3 linked regions of the Drosophila melanogaster genome follow. The protein of the gene in region 2 interacts with the protein of the main gene of each other region in a pairwise test. Each region holds a gene or a part of one and is shown on either strand. Other genes may lie near its edges.

Region 1 (5,490 bases), on a different chromosome or scaffold from region 2:
GCACAAGTCGCACGGTCTGGAGCAGACCCGGTTTCTGGCCAAGAAGCACTGCAACGAGGCGATACGGCTGGCCCAGGAGCTCACGGAGTCGCCCTACCAGAAGGGTCTCCAGGTGGTCGCCGACTTAGTCATCAACCGCATGAAGTAGAGTACCGAGCACCCGAACACCCTAACATAAACCATACACGTAATGCAATAATAATAATATTAATAATAATATTGTTATGTAGGCCCATTGATGTTTGGATTAAGTCCTGTTCAGCCGGCGGGCCAATTTGTAAACAAGAATTATTATTTAGTTTTTAGGCATTTGTTGTTGACACTGTAAATAATTGCATAAAAAAACCTAATCAACACACACTAAATGGCAACGATCGCTGTACATAACATAATTACAAGATGTTTAATGAATTTTTGACAAATTTTGTATGCAATGTTTTTCGACAAATTTATTTATATGTATAGAGAGCGAAACATGAGCCAAAAGCCAACAACAATAGGGGAAACGAGAAAATTGTACAAACATTTCATCAAATAAATGAATGGAAATGGGTTGCCAGGCGAGCACCAAATGTGGAATCTACTTTAAAATGAAAATGTTTATTAGTCAATGCAACAAAGAAAGCCAGTGTGTAGAGCGATATTTTTAATACGAAGCACGAGGAGCATAATTGGTTTATTTTATATTAATACTTGATTTAGGGCATTTCATGCCTAAATGGTTCAATGGTCATTGCCTGCACTCTGTTTAAAATCCCTTCCGACCGCACAAACTTGTAACTTAAAGTGGAAAGCCCGTAGTTTAGCTGGATTAAATAAAATATTTTGAACCATTCGCGCATGAAATGCATATTATAATATGTTCTATAAGAAATGTAACGAGGATTGTATGTGAAACAATGCTGCCCAGTCTTAATTTTAAATCTTTCTTCTCCGCCTCTAATGCAATAGTAATTTAAAAGACATTTGAAACGAATTCGAACCGCAAACCCCAAATGTTGAAATGTTCTACAAATCTTTTTAGATGTAAGTTTTTATTTTAATTTATAAACACAACCTCAGTTAAGTTAGTCAGCGAAATTCGTTTTTTTGTCCGTTTAGTTTTGATGCAAATTCATTGGGCTCCTTTACAGCCTGCTCTACACTGAAAGAAAGGCAAATGAAAGATATAATGCAGAAATTTGCTGGCTAGTTAATCAATACAATTGGGTGCTGACGACGATATACCCACATATTTTAGAGTGCGAACGACAAAATAATGATACAGATGTTGATATTGATACATGTAATTACGATATTTGTATACCTAATGAGATGAATAAAAATTCGATTTTGTAAAACAAGCAAATTGGAGCTGATTTCGCCGCTTGTAGCTATGCAACATATTAACCACCAACCAGGTTGACCCAGTGAAATAGTTTTGGACATGGCCAAAATGCCTTATGTTGCAACGGGCATGGCTGAAACCGAAATTGGGGCAAACAAATAAATTTGGCGGTGTGAGTTGCTGGCTGAAATTGTAACTGCCACACGGGGCGTATGAGTAATGCTTGCTGCTTAGGCTTGCAAGAGCTTTTCATTTTAAAACATCAACAAGTTTCGTATTAAGTGGCACGCTATACTGCAGTAGGCTTACTTTTGCGTTTCATTAAAACAGAGCATCACGATTCAGGTTAAGCCAACGCAGCCGTGGCATTATTTCCAGGCAACATAAAGTCAATATATTTTATGTCCAGGCAGTCTAGCAAAGTGGAGCAGGCAAACATCGTGTCTAACTGGCGAAATATTTAAATAGCCAGACCAAATTAGCTGAGGTTTCGATATCCTTCGACTCGCCTTCAAGGACAGACGACCGAAGTGTGCCTTAACCTAGGTTATAAATAGTCGGGCGTGCTGCCTAGACAACCGACCCATCATCCACGGCCCTTTAGTGCCTGGCACGGATCCTGGCAGCCAATTCGGCGGTTAAACGGCTTGGATGGGACACGAGACCGATTCAGTAACGCCGCGTTTGCTGAACGCAGCGCTACTTCTGTTCTCGTTCTACCAGTTTCCCAAACATCCAGATAGGATCTCCAGAGCATTCAGAGAGCCATGACGACTAGCGATGAAATGGGCATGGGGGGCAACTTCTGCCACGACCACATCCAGCATCCGCTGATGTGGTGCGATGAGAAGAAGCGTCTTGTGGAGCGCAAGAATGCAGAGGAGAGTCTTCGCATGTGGCGGCGCCGGAAGGCGGAGGAGTGTGCTCGCAAGGAGAAGGATAAGCAGGAGGTGGGTAACAGTGCGTATGTGTGTGATATTTCCAGACCGTGCGTATGAGTTATATTTTAGGGCCCCAAGCAAAGTTGTTAGTAGTTACCTGAAACACCTTAAGCTTGGAACTCTGAACCCTAAATATATTAGTTTTAAAACTTTAAAGGCCATAATCAATTCACCAAGTTCCAAGTTCTTTGTCTAAGTCTAAGGCAAAACCAGAAACGAACGAAATGACAATCGAAAAACATCTCGAACCATCCGCCACGCAATAGTTGCAACTTTTGGTAAGTTCAAAGACCTGCCTCAAGCAACATGTAAGGCATCCGCCCCCGCGGATCTGGTTCAACAAACCCTTTGACAATTTCGACTTCGGTAATCAAATCCCCTCTCTTCGGCTAAAAGCCCAACTCCTGCGAGTCCTTGCGTGACTGGAGTCCTGGCTCCTTGCTCCACTACCTATCACAACCTGCAGCTGTGTGAAAGCGCCAACCGAAATGTGGGTGAAAAAAATCAGTGAAATGCAAATCGCCGTTCGCTGCAACTATAACAACAACCTACTAACAAACTTTGTGGGCCAGGGCAGCGGGAGCTCCTGAATTTGCCAATTTCCGTAAACAAACATCGCCACACTTCGCGGAGTGACACGACGAGGTGGGTTGAGGCAGTCTGGAGCCACAAATAGGCTGCCACCCAATCGATAAGGCATAACTCGGTGTTGTAATCGTCCTGCGGAAGTAATTTAATGTATTTATGTTGTGACTTTATTGCGGGTAATGCGATTCATGATTTCAGCGGAGGATACGTTAGTTTGCCTAAACGATTTTTCCAAGCATCACAATCTTTACTGAAATAAGTTGAAGATCAATTCGTATCAACAATGTTCTTTTATCCAGTACTACGACCTGTTTCACCAACATTGTCCCTGGGGTCGACCTGGTGGTGGGGCACCCAACGTAGAGGTGCGACGCAAGGACATCACAGCCGCTGGCCTTCACTCGACGCCCACAGTGGTAAGGACTCTTGAATCCTTCTCGAATAACATATATTCTACTCCAATAATTTGAATGTGCCGCAGACCAATGCCCACCGAATGAATCTACTGCAGCCGTGTCGCTACAACGACTTCTTCTCGATGCAGAAGAAGTGCCACAACAACCCGCTGGCCGCCTACCATCACCACCACCACCACGCCCCGCCTGCTCCGCCGCCGGGTGGCCGACTGGGCCACGCCCACTCGGTCCATCACCTGCAGGAAAGTGGTCCCAGGAGCAGCACCGTAACGATTTGCGAGCGGGAGATTCCGCACAAGCCCGGAGCGGCAGTTGGTGTCAATGTGGCCAAAAACGCCAACGGTGAGAGCCTTCACATCGAGCTGAAAGAACATCCTTCAATGTCGTTTCGCAATAAAGGCCATGTGGACATAGAATTGCGGTACAAGCCCTCTCCTCCGTGCAAGGGGAAGCCGCTTCTGGAGAAGATCGTAGTCAGCGAGAGTGAGCAGCGATGTCCTTTGCAGGAAAAGCTGGCCACTCAGAAGAAGCGCTTGCAAGCCAAACTCGAAAAGCCGGTGAGCGGCACTTATTACGCCCCCTGAAACCAAGTTTAACTAATCCCTCTTTATCTGTCCTCCTTCTAGTCCTGCAAGGAGCCGTGGGGCAAGGCGGGTCCGGGCGGCAAGCCATGGCGGAGTCCCAAGGAAGTGGGCAACACGTTCATGAAGTCACTGGTGGGTATCAGTCGCTTGTGCTCATATGTACACTGTTTAAATATAATCTAATTTCAGGGTTGGACGAACAAGGAGATGCTGAAGGAGTTGGACCAAGATAACCCGGTGACTCCCGCGGAGAAGAACACCTTTCGCAAATCGCGACCAGGCAAGCCACCAAAGCCGCAGCGCTGCTGTGAGTTGTGCACTTGCAAATGTCCCGCCATGCAAAAGAGTCCGCCCAAGCCGTCGCCACTCTCACTTCCCATTCCGCCAGGCAAAAAGTGCCCGGGTCCGCCAGGTCCGCCGCCCGGAAAAATGCTGCACCACTTGAAGCCGCAGGACTGCGGTAGCAAGCCCATCAAGTTGTGCCCCCGCATAGCGTCGAGAGGTCCCTGTCCCGGGAGCACCAGTACCGCCACTCCGGATCCCAGCACAGCGGGAGGAAAGGGAGGAGCCTATGGCGAAGGTGGTGGGGTGGAGCTGGTTCCCCTGCTCGCCAGAAGGCGTGGCATGCACCGACCCATCAGTCTCTCCAGCACGGACGTGACCAAGAGGACACCGTCGCACGATAGGTACGCATCCAAGCACAAGCATCCACCAAAGAACTGTCAGCTGACCACCACCAAGATCAAGTGCATCAACAGCATCATCAAGAACATTAGCCACATGAAGCGGCTGCCCAAGAATCTGAACTGCAAGCTGCAGTGTTGCAGTTGCGATTGCCCCACGGCCTTGGCCACGGGCTGCTGCCTCAAGCGGCTGACCCTGCACATTCGCCAGGCTTGAAACCCACGTTCTATCAATCCCGATCCCCTCCTGCTTTCATAGTACTACCATTCCACCACCTCCCTGCTCCCACCGTTTCTCATTTGCTTGCTCTGCGCCAGACATTGAAACGAAAGTCCGCTTGCCCCTCTATGCCTTTGCCTTGTGATCTTGTTCTGTTAATGGTTTCTCTAATCCCCCACTTCTCCTCGGCTCATCCAGCAAGAAAATATCCATTGTAATACAAGTGAAAGTATAGCAACCAAACGAGCAAACCAAATACCAATCTCACCAAAATCAAACAAACCGCAACAGCAAAAGTCAAAAATCATAATACCAATCTTCTATGTATGTATCCCCGTGCAAAACAAATCGAACTGAAAACCGAAAATCGAAAATTCGAAATCTGAAAAATCGAACTGATATAAATGAAACTATAATATTGCTGCCCACCAATCGACCGGCAACCAGGATTCAAACGGCCGCCGACATGCGCTATCTGCACGACCTGAATGTCCAGATCTCGCAGAACCGTCGATCCGTCTCCGTTTCCAAGCAACTGGACAGGGATCTGTGCAACCAACATTTCGACACATTCGAAACGTTCTGGGGCAGACCAGGACATGGAGCCCGTGGCGACAAGATCAACAAACTGAAACTGGACAATCTGCTCTATGGCGCCAGCGAATCGGCGTAAGGCCAAGGATTCTTGGATATTCAAGGATATTCCCTCACCTTCTGACTGGCTCGTAGTT
Region 2 (8,007 bases):
TTGGTTTACGTCTTTGTGTTGTCTTTTCGTTGAGTTTGGTTCATTTTTGTTAATAGGAGCGAAAAAATTAGAGAATGTTTTAGAAAATCATTCATATTTGATTGATCCTTTTGGTATGGCACAGATTTGGCATTGGCAAGTAAATTTGTATTTCTTTAGGAAAGTAATATATAATGGCAAGAAAATTCAGTTATAAGTGCTCTGAGCAGCAACATCATTCCATTATGTACTTTTTTTTGGCTACTATAATTACACCCGTACACTTAGCGCTCTTCTCCTCCGCTGTCTATTTCGTGGACCCTTCGCACTGCTGCACTTGAACCAGTAAGAGAAGAATGCGATTCATTAAATTGTCCGCGTCCGAGTCCTCCATGCTGTTTAGCTTGGCTGAAATAAAGCCGCAGAACTTGGAGTTCAAAACCTCACGTACAGTTTGTGGGGGCGGCAGATCCAACCCTCCGCTTGCGACGCCCTGTTGCTGCCGGAGATGGCGGTGCTGTTGCAGCATTTGTTCTTCGTAGTCGTCACCATCGATAACCGCATCGCCGTGACCGTTTCCTTCCTCCAAAACATCTTGATCGACGTTACGGCGAAGCTTGCGGGACATGACCACATCGTCCACACCAACATTGGGGCTACCGCGTGAGTTGGAATCCAGAATCAGAGGATAAGGGAAATCTGCATCGATGGCATCCAACTCCTCCACTACGTCGGATGCGTGGGCGATATCTTCGTCCCCGCTGCGTATCGAGCTGTCGTCCATGTCTTCATAGCTGTGATGCTGTGCCCTTTGCTCGTTTCTCGTTGAGCTCACCCGACTGTCGTTGTGAGCCTGGTGAGCGGGCAGAGGAAGTGGCCCGCCGCCGGAGCTACTCCCACTTGTGCTACTTCCGGCCCCACCGCCCACCGAGAGATCCAGCTCCGGCTTCACATAGTAGTCGCAATAGTAGTGATCGTCGCTTACATTGAGCGAGGAGCACTTTGAGAGATTTAACACTGAGGCGGACTCGTTAAAGGAATTGGACAGCTTCAGGGTCATTGCCTTTCCCCCTGCAGCCAAGCTGTTACTGTTGTTGTTGTTGTTGTTGTTATTGTTAATATGGCCATAGGTTGTCAGGCTTAGATCGGTTGCATGCGAAGCGCCCCTATAATAGAAAGAACATATGTTAGAAGACTAAATTATTTCACATTTTAACGGGTTTAAGGTTGGGTTTTACTTTTGCGTCATATTCAATATTCATATTCGCAGCAAGTCTGCGGTATTTTTTTATTTTGTATTGATGTTAAGTTGAATACTAATAAAAATTTGATGAAGGAGGTTGTTTAAAAGGGCATACAAAAAGATTAATAAATTTATTAAATACAATAACATATAACCGTGACTAGTGGTTATGTACATTGTTTTTAATACACTTTAAGAACCGCCTACGTTCTTAAATTAAAAGTAGAAAGAATACTTTTCTTTGTCTCTCACACATCATTTATAGTATAACAGATTTTCTTTCTCTTATCTTAAATTATATTAATTACAATAAATAAAAAAATATTAAATAATGCTGGCAATAATCATTTGCAAAACGTTGGGCAAAAAATTAGAAATAGAATAGTCTGAAAGACAAATCAATAAGTTCGTAAAACTTTGCTAGGTTGTCATCAACTAATTAGCTTTGTTTTATGCCGACGGACATTGCGATCGGATAGTGACCCTGATAAGGAAAGCATGTTCGTATTAATTGTGAGTTCGAAAACACACAAAAATATAATTGTATTAGCCTTATAGAGTTCATATGTTTCCTGTGACTCAACGATTCATATCCCCATTTTGAAATCTTGTCTGTTTAAGGCAATAACACAAGAAATGCATAAACATAAATGTCTTTCAGTGTAGTATCGCTTCCTGTCTCTCTCCTTACGCGTCTCAAGTTTCAAGAGCATTTTCACAGGCAATGCAGCTGCCTGGGCCGGGTGCTCAAAGAACATCTGAACGTGGCTATTTTGGGCCTCCCCCATACCTATAGTTATTTGCCGAATGCAAAGACCTGGCCTAGTGGTAGGCACGGGCATGGGCGACCTAGAAGACAGCCTTATCACCGCAATCGGCTGCAGGTAGTTGACAATTGTAAAATTTGAAAACTGATACTCGCTCGCCAGCCAAGACCAAAAAACTCGCAGGACTAATCGAGTCGAAATACATTTTCACATGTTCCACAATCGGGAATGGCTTTATTTACTTCATTATTTTGACTTGGTTTCTTTTCGGGGTTTGAATCGCTCAGCTTATCATTATTTGCTTCCGCTCTTGCTTAGGTCCCAAGCCGTTTTCCGAGATTGTTTATGGGTTTTTGTGGTTTGAATTCGTTTTCTAAAATCTCTATCACCTGCACTTGGAAACAAATCTATGAATATTAATATAATAATAACATAATTAAATATTCCAATGGTCCGAATGAGATTTTAGATTTTTGCAGACCTAGAACTTTTTATTATGATTTATTAGGCAAGAACTAGCTCCATGCAAAGGCATTTAAAGGTACGAGAATCAAAAGGCAAGCACGGACTACCGCCCACTTTTCTTCTTCCGTGACGCATTGGCTAAAGCATTTCAATGCGAAATACGGCGGACAGTGATTTCAGGGCGTGGGGCGAGATTCGGATTGTGGGGATGACGGACAGCCAAACAATTTCAGCAATTTCGCAGCACATTTGCTTATTAAATCATAAGCGTGACACAGACAGAGCCCAGCAGAACTTTCACACCCAAGTGGCCTCGTGTGTGTGAGGGTGAGGGTACGAGAGCCCCCCATTAAGAGAGGACTGAACGACGAAAGCATGTGGGCCAGGGCAGCCTGAAAGAGGCGTCCAGACCCCGACTCTGGGTCTCAGCAACCCCTTGGCCGGGACGCGGCCGATGCGGCTGGCTAATGGTCGTGGGCATATTTTTAACCCTGGCCGAAGTCAGACCAAGCTATTCGTTCAATTACTCAGCTCACCCATACAGCGATCTTTACGAGTGTTCGGTGCTCATGTCATACACACACAGGCAGAACCTCGCTCATTTTCCCTTACCAGCCCCTTTCTCGCTCACGAGCTACCAGTCTTTCCCAACTTGGTCCACTCGCAATCCGTATTCTTCGGTGCTGATTGTCATTTTCGTAGTGCTCTCATTAATTTATCGCTCTCTCGGCGCCTTCCCATAGTCCCCACCCCTCTCGCAAGCACTATTCGATGGACTTGGTCTTGCGTTTGCAGCTTCCCTCAATTTCGTTTTTGGTTCAAGCAGCGACGATGCTGCGACGTTGTATAATATTCGCCGCTTGGCGAGATCTGTGTTATGGCTATGGCTGTGGCTATAGCTGCGGCTATAGCTCCGGCTCAAGCGCTGCCCGACTGGCCGGGCCCGTTGAGCTGTCTGTTATCAGCTCACAATAATAAAAATTTAAATATATACACACACCATGGGTGAGTGTGCGCGGGCATGTGTCGGGGCCGTCGACTGCTTGTTGCCCATGTGGGTACAGTCAATTGAAAGGAAATGGCCTTATTTCATATAAATATGTACATAAAGTACACACACTCACACACACACACACACCCGCAGCTCGAGCACGGCTCCATATGAGCCAGAACATTGGACGGGGCAGACTCTCGACTGAGACCATTTGCGGGTCTCTGGCCCGGTCATTCCTTTGTTCGGATTGGTTTTTTCCACATTACCGCTCCTTAGTGTCCATATGCCCCCTTGCCTTGTTTTTGCTATTCTTTTTCGCTGGGCAGATGTTTTCTCAGACACGGTGCTGAGATTTGCTCGAATTGTTGGGCGTTTATGCAAATCGACTGGGCTAAGGGATGAGTTTTGTACGAAGGCTCGAATGGAAGTGGAATTTCGTAGTTACGGTTCGAATAACTTTATGCTAAACTTATCACATGTTTTTTATGTGACAATTGTATGTATTGTCTATTCGATCTGAACATATTTCCGAATTCTCAATTTATTTAAATTGTCAGATCTTTACGAAGTCCGTGATTCTATGATTTTTGAAATAAATTTATTGACATATTTTGTCCAACATTAGATCTAAGCCATGACTCACAAACTCATACACTTCTCAGTGTACATAAGCTGAAGTGGCTACTCGCATAAAATGATAAGATTCTTGGAATTTCCTGCAATAATTATTTTTGATTGAGCCAAGCTAAACAACATTGTTCGCTTGACTGACTACTGACAAGCACACATATTTTTAGGGGGGCAGATTCGGAAAAACCTCTTTCAGACACAGGACTGGAAAGCATACAATACCTTCGACCAATGTAAATGATCGTTGGAAAGGTGAGTCACATTATTATTGTGTATAAGTTAGCTAGTCTTCAAACTGATGCATGTATTTGTTTCGCATGAATCAATCCGTGTATGACCAAAACAGAAGACCAATCTAAACCGAAAACTGTTATTCACGACTCAAGCCAAACTTTGACCGTTGTTCGATGGTTGTATGGTTAGTGACGGCTTATCAAACTCATTGTAATATAAGTAGCCAAATGTACTCCTGACACAAATAATGTTCAGAGTGTAAGACGATATTATTGAAGAACTGTAGTCGTAAGGGAGCATTACTTTTGAGAAATAACGGTTCCACTTTTAGATTTGTTTTGGTATCGATCTCCAAAAAGCAGAGGATAAGAATAAGTACGTTAATTAAGATCATTTTGGGAAAGGTAAATATTGCCTAGAAAGATTAAAAGAAAACTTGGAAATAAGTGCAATACGTTCTGTAATAATTATTCGTTGATATAGAATTTCATGTACTTTACTATTCGATTATAAGAATGACTCGTATTTCTGTCAAATTTTAAATTTAAGCGCTCTTCTCTCGTGTTCTATTATTGCTTTTGCTTTTGTAAAGCCATTTGGATGAAGATCATTTTTAGTGACATGATTTGTGGTGTGGCAATAATGGGTCAAGCAGAGAATGCAAAATTCATAACGGGCTCTATATTACTGGTCAACCCCAGGAGTCGATATTGGCATGAAACTTCCTTGACGGTTTTAAATTTAAGAGAATCACCTGGTCACCAGTTCACTAAAATACTATTCCTTATACTTACTTTCGTTCTCTGATGACATCGCGCAGGAAATCCATGGCCTCATAGAGACTCCACTTGGGCTTGAAGCCATTGCCCATTAGCTTGACGTGGGCGAGTTCACGGCGGTAGGATTCCCTCAAGGACTTGAAGGCCCGTGCAACGCGACGCCCGGGAGCGTTGAACTCGCGGCCTATGTGCTCCCAGGCTCGGTTCTTTTCTTCTTCGGCGCCCTTGAAATTCGGGAGACGGGAGTCCCAGAGAATTGGATTGTCGTGCACCATTTGGATGAGCTTCAGCTTGTCGGAGGCGTTGCGCCGAACCACTGTTGGGACACAAAAATGAATGCAAATAATATAAGTCCTCGAGTCTCGACAGTCGAATATTTTAAGAAAGCACGGTACAGGCACCTCAAAACTTCTATAAGTCGAACTTTTTTAACCCAAATGTACATACATACGTATGTACGTATATGTATGTACATTGCACATAGGGTGAACCGAACTATTTGAATAGGCAATGAAGAGATAAAATAAATTCTACTGCTTGTTCGACGTATCGACTTTCGACTGCATTTTGCATAAAAATTGTACATATATACATATGTATGTACGTATGTTTGCATGAATGTGGGGAATAAATCTGTGTACGCACATTTCTTTATCTTCTGAGAGGGCATGGCAGTTGCGGCGGCCAGGGGGTGGGGCTCCAACTTGGGCTTCATGTCAAGAGCGATTGCCGCGGCGGCAGCACTCATGTCCTGCAGCGAGTGGGTGGCGGTGGGCAAACAGCCGCTCACGGGCGCCATCAGAATGTTCTGGAGGATTTGAAGGCTTGAACTGGCCAGGGCTCCACAGTACTCTTTAGTTCGGACGCGATCGCGGTCGGCTGATAACGGGGCTGCTACCCTCTCACGACCAAGTTTAAACGGCAACTAAAAACCAAGACCAGAAAATAACAACCACCGCGGCAAGCGGGCTGCGCTCAGCCGTCGTCGACGCCGAGCCGGCAGCGCAGTTGGCAGCAAGCCCGCATTCAGAGCCAAAAAATCACGCGCATTCGACATCGACATGAGAGCCAGCTATAGCTCTTTGCGCTCTCTGTCTCTCTCCGGCCGTGGCTCGCTGCCACCGTTCCCGTTATCTGATCCAGACATATAGGTCTAAAGCGCTCTCCGGGCGCTGCCTAGAGCGCGACTCGCCGGATGGAAACCCCGTTTAATCGCAATCACAAGCCACAGAAAGTAAAAGCAAGCGAAAAGCGGCGTCGCACACACACACACACACAACAGGGAGAACGCGCAGAACGAAACAACAGAAAATGTGTGTAATACAAAAATCCGTTGACGCGTTCGCATTTGGTTTTAGCAGAGGAATTGTCGAGCGTTCGTACGTACTTGCATACATATGTATGTATGTACTACATGAATGTACCATATACACATGTATGTACATACATACATACGTACCAAAATACTTGGATAGCGTTTCTTGGCAGAATACGCTGCACTTCGGCCATATCAGCTTCAATTAATATAGGGGGGTCGATTCCCGTATCGGAACAATTTCGAGGAATTTAAAGAATTCATGACTATGTACATATGTACATACATTTATTGTAAATCTCCAACGCATTAAGGTTTTAGACTAACATAATAATTATAAGTTTACTGGAGTACACACATACATATAATCTTGATCTGTCCGCCTGTCCGTTCGCATGCAAGTTAGTGCGTTCGCAAGCCTATCCAGACGCCATGAAACCGTTTATTGGCCAGGTATCCTGCTCTCAGTTGTGAAAAGGGATTTGATTTTCATTTCATTTTGTTATATAAATGTAAATTTCCATCGAAATGACAAAAAAAATCTCAAAATTCGCTGAGTAACGGGTATCTGATAGTCGAAAGTAATCGACTATTGTTCTCTCTTGTTTTAAATAAATAAGAAGAGAGAACGCACGAGTTCCCCGAATATCAAATACCTTTTACTCAGCTAGTGGAAGTGAGAACGCGAAATTTCATAATTTTTTAGGACCATCGATAGATATTGGACAAGAAGAAATGGGAGGTTTGTGGTCGTTAGAGTGGGCGTGGCATAAAGTTTTTGTAGCAAATCGATAGAATTTTACAATACTAATAAAAATGTGAAAAAAAGATATAACATATTTTTCAAATGTGTGTCCGTGACAGGTTTCTGCGGCTTACGGTCGATAGTGGGTGTGGCATAATCGATAAAAATTTATAATTAAAAAAGATGAAAAAATATCAAAACTTTTTTAAAAGTTTTTTTGCAAAACCATACACATTTGCAAGACTAATAAAACTATGAAAGAATATCAAAACAGTTTTCAAAAGTGTGGGCGTGACAGTTTTGCCCGACTTGTGGGCGTGGAAGCAAACTGGCTCTGTGTCTATGTTTCTAGAATCTGTATGCATAATCTTGACCTTCTAGTTCTTATAGCTCCTGAGATTTCGACGTTCAACGGACGGACAGGCTATTGATCCTGATCAATAATATGAATACTTTCTATCTGTTAAATACTTTTTAACGAATCTAATATACTCTTTTATACTACGAGTAACGAGTATAATTACTGGAAGATAAATAATTTTGTGTAGAATTTACGATATAAGAGCACAAATTTGTTGTTAAATGTAAAGAGGGCTAAATATACTCATCGGACGATCTGATTCCATCAATGGCTGGCTGCTTGACTTAAAGATTTATAATTTTTTTCCAGGGGGCCTGGCCATAGCTTAAGCAATGAATAGTTGAAGAAGGGTGGGTTAGTGTTCTACCACAGTGTGTTTTTGTGGACTCCGCCCGTGGCTGGCTTCGTTCGCTGCAGTTGTAGAGTCGAAGTTCAGTTCATTATCGTATTTCCCCGTTTATAGAATTTACAAATGAACATTTGGATCACACATGT
Region 3 (3,274 bases), on a different chromosome or scaffold from region 2:
ACTGATCAAGTGCTGCCCCATGTGCGCGGTGCCCATCGAAAAGGACGAGGGCTGCGCCCAGATGATGTGCAAGCGCTGCAAGCACGTCTTCTGCTGGTACTGCCTGGCCAGTTTGGATGTAAGTTCCTAGAATCTGGCAAGTCTAGGATATTTCATCTAATTTGTATTCCTGCAGGATGACTTCCTGCTGCGCCACTACGACAAGGGACCGTGCAAGAACAAGCTGGGGCACTCGCGGGCCTCGGTGGTCTGGCATCGTGCCCAAGTGATTGGGATCTTCGCCGGCTTTGGCATTCTGCTGCTGGTGGCCTCGCCGCTGCTGCTCTTGGCTGCTCCCTGCATCATCTGCTGCAAGTGCAGAGGGTGCACCGGGTCCAAGATCGACGAGGTGGACGCCGAACTGGAGGAGGAGGTCACTGCGCTGCAGGGCTAGGTGGCTGGATCTCCACGCATCCCCATCCATACGCGACATAGGCTGCAGCCTGTAAATGCAGCTGCTGTAATTACTGGTAGTTTCTATTGTTAATGACGACAGCTTACGTACATTTATTTTAGTTATTACAATTATAATTGTATATGTGTTAACTAAATTGTGATATTTACAGTGATTCGATTTCTAATTGAATCGACAAATTTGTTGAGAACCTATACAAAGACAAGACGCCTTCGATTCTTTTTAGGTTCTGTCTCTACATATATTCTTTCCTCCCCCTAACCACACCTTTGAATATATATTCGACTAAATCAATCTGTATAAATCGAGTAGGTTCTCTTCCTAGCGCATAAGTTAGTCTAAATATATTAGGAGTACGCCTCGTATTGCAACAGTGCTTTTATAACGCACCCACCCAAACAAAATCGCCCGACTCACCCACTCAATCCTTCTCTCAAGTATTACGCATGCAACTAACACCCAAAATTGATGGGTCACTTTGATCAACTGCTTGGCAATGCTTTTATCTACGCAAAAAAATATATATACTGCATATAAAGGAGGTGTATATGATGTCACTACTACTGTTTATTGAATGTATTTAATTGTAAATTTTACTACGCAGCTAAAACAAATGTATATCAAATCGCTGCTCTCGGGTCGCTTGCCTAAAAGCTGGCAGGTGCACCTAGCTGGGGATGATTTGGTTAATGTAAATTATTGAATTATTTAATGCATATACACTCAGAACACATATATCAAAATACGTATGACATAAAAGTGCGTGTATCTTTAAAGAAAACATATTTAAACTTTACTCTTAATGTGAACAACTACCGCGTATGCTGTTTGAAATAAAAATGTTAAAAGAAAACTATGGAATTGGCTTTTATTAAAGTACTGGGTTATTTAATAGCTTAAAATTCTCATTTCATATTCATGGGCTTCATTTCAAGCTTTAAATTTTCAAGCTTGTAACGGCTATTGTAAAACATGCATATAGTATGGCAACGCTATGTTTGTGGTTCGTGTATGTGCTAGATGTGAACTAAAGTTACTAAGCGAAATCACAAACATGACATTACGGGCCAACCATGGTCACATTAGGGAATGCATCAAATAATAATTTATCGAAAACATTGGCCGGCAAAGAGTTTTTATTTACGGATTTAAGCAGCAGAGAGGAGGACAGGTAAACCGGCTACGCGATGGACGACCAGGCGTGCCCGCGGTGCAAGACCACCAAATACCGGAATCCATCGCTCAAGCTGATGGTCAACGTTTGCGGACACACATTATGCGAATCTTGCGTGGACTTGCTGTTCCTCAAAGGATCCGGCGCCTGTCCAGAGTGCATGGTCCCATTGCGGCGCAACAACTTCCGCGTGCAGCTTTTTGAGGACCCAATGGTGGAGAAGGAGGTGGATATTCGTAGGCGAATTCTGCGCGACTACAATAAACGTGAGGAGGACTTTGCCTCCCTGGCGGAGTACAATGACTATCTGGAGGAGATCGAGGACATTGTGTACAATCTGTGCAACAACATCGACATCATCGAGACAAACAAGCGTATTGAGGCCTACAAGCGTGATAACCGTGAGGTCATTCAGCGGAATAAAACCCGCGTGGGACGCGATGAGTACGCGTTGGAGGAGATGCTGGAGCTGGAGAAAGTTCAGGAGGAGGCGCGTAGGAAGGAGCTGGAGGAACTGGAGAACGAGCACAAGAAGAAGAAGGCCCGCGACAAGCAGGCGCTGATCGAGGAGCTGATGTACAGCGGCAAGGATGCCGCCCAAATTGTCACCGAGTTCGCCGAAAAAGCGGAAAAGCAGCGCGAGGAGGAGAAACAGCTTCCACCGCCGAAGCCCGCCAACGAGTTCTCTACGGGCATAAAGTTCGGACAGACAGCTGATCCCAGTCTGCTGCCCGTTCCCAAATCGGAGGAGGGTCCACTTTTCGTATACGAGCCACTTGTTCCTTTCAGTGAGGGACCTGCCATGCCGCCCACAAATGAGATCGTGTCCAGGGGCTATATTGCCCACATACGAGCTGAAACACCGCAGGAGAACGCCGGCGGATTCACATCCGCTCTGGCTTGTGAACGGGCGCTTCAGGAGGCGCTGCAGGGACTCTACTATACGGCTACAACGGGTGTGGTATCTGGCACCTAGCTCTCTAAAAAAATATCCTTTAATGGTCGCACAACCAGAGCACTGAACGCTTAATTTTGTTGAACAAATGTGTCCTATACGAATCCATTCAGTTAACTCGTAACTTAATATATGTTAAATAAATAAATGCTATATCCTACGTTATAGATATTATTTATTCAAAAATATATTGTTGTTGGCTACATAGTAGGTCAATAGATGCGCAGGAAAATTAATCCTTAAACAAGAAGTAAAAAAAATAACATGTCTATATTAGAATAACTTTCATTTGCAAAGAAACTTAGCTTATTCATTTTGATAATTATTCAAATAAGAAAGTTTCCTGAATTTGTATTCTAAATACAAATACAAGAGATCAAAATGAGCCAAACAGAAAAACAGTTGGTTCGTTCGACTACAGACTTCTTTTTATTTTAAATACTTTTAACAGTAAATATTTATAGGCATTTATAGACATATGCTGGATAAACATACATTGGATTTAACTTGCTCTTTATACATTATACGGATTATAGTTAAATCGTGTGATAGTCGGACGAGTAGCTCGTCACATCCTAAGATCTACTTGCACAGTTAGAGGTAAATGTGTTCTGCGATCGGGCCACTTGCGAGATTTTTGGCCACAGATGGACTATCCTAGCCAAGTACATGAACTGGTTAACTTAACGAC

The links. Proteins that work in one complex are often made in the same cells at the same time.
Region 1: the proteins of Mes2 (region 2) and CG15564 interact in a two-hybrid assay, tested with the Drosophila melanogaster proteins (one large-scale study listed by BioGRID).
Region 3: the proteins of Mes2 (region 2) and Mat1 interact in a two-hybrid assay, tested with the Drosophila melanogaster proteins (one large-scale study listed by BioGRID).

Annotation. Positions count from the first base shown.
Region 1 is NT_033777.3:31,231,886-31,237,375, reverse strand, and holds CG15564 (uncharacterized protein), read left to right. Parts: upstream 1-2,013; 5' UTR 2,014-2,094; coding exon 2,095-2,277; intron 2,278-3,155; coding exon 3,156-3,272; intron 3,273-3,337; coding exon 3,338-3,614; intron 3,615-3,671; coding exon 3,672-3,829; intron 3,830-3,898; coding exon 3,899-3,988; intron 3,989-4,045; coding exon 4,046-4,756; 3' UTR 4,757-4,961; downstream 4,962-5,490. Other genes in the region: qless, read left to right, coding at 1-148; CG15563 (uncharacterized protein), read left to right, coding at 5,082-5,432.
Region 2 is NT_037436.4:22,943,670-22,951,676, reverse strand, and holds the start of Mes2 (Mesoderm-expressed 2), read right to left. Parts: upstream 6,021-8,007; 5' UTR 5,891-6,020; coding exon 5,737-5,890; intron 5,683-5,736; exon of another isoform or gene 5,493-5,682; intron 5,408-5,492; coding exon 5,107-5,407; intron 1,146-5,106; coding exon 287-1,145; 3' UTR 1-286.
Region 3 is NT_033778.4:10,738,088-10,741,361, reverse strand, and holds Mat1 (menage a trois 1), read left to right. Parts: upstream 1-1,532; 5' UTR 1,533-1,641; coding exon 1,642-2,604; 3' UTR 2,605-2,745; downstream 2,746-3,274. Other genes in the region: CG33144 (uncharacterized protein), read left to right, coding at 1-118, 176-433.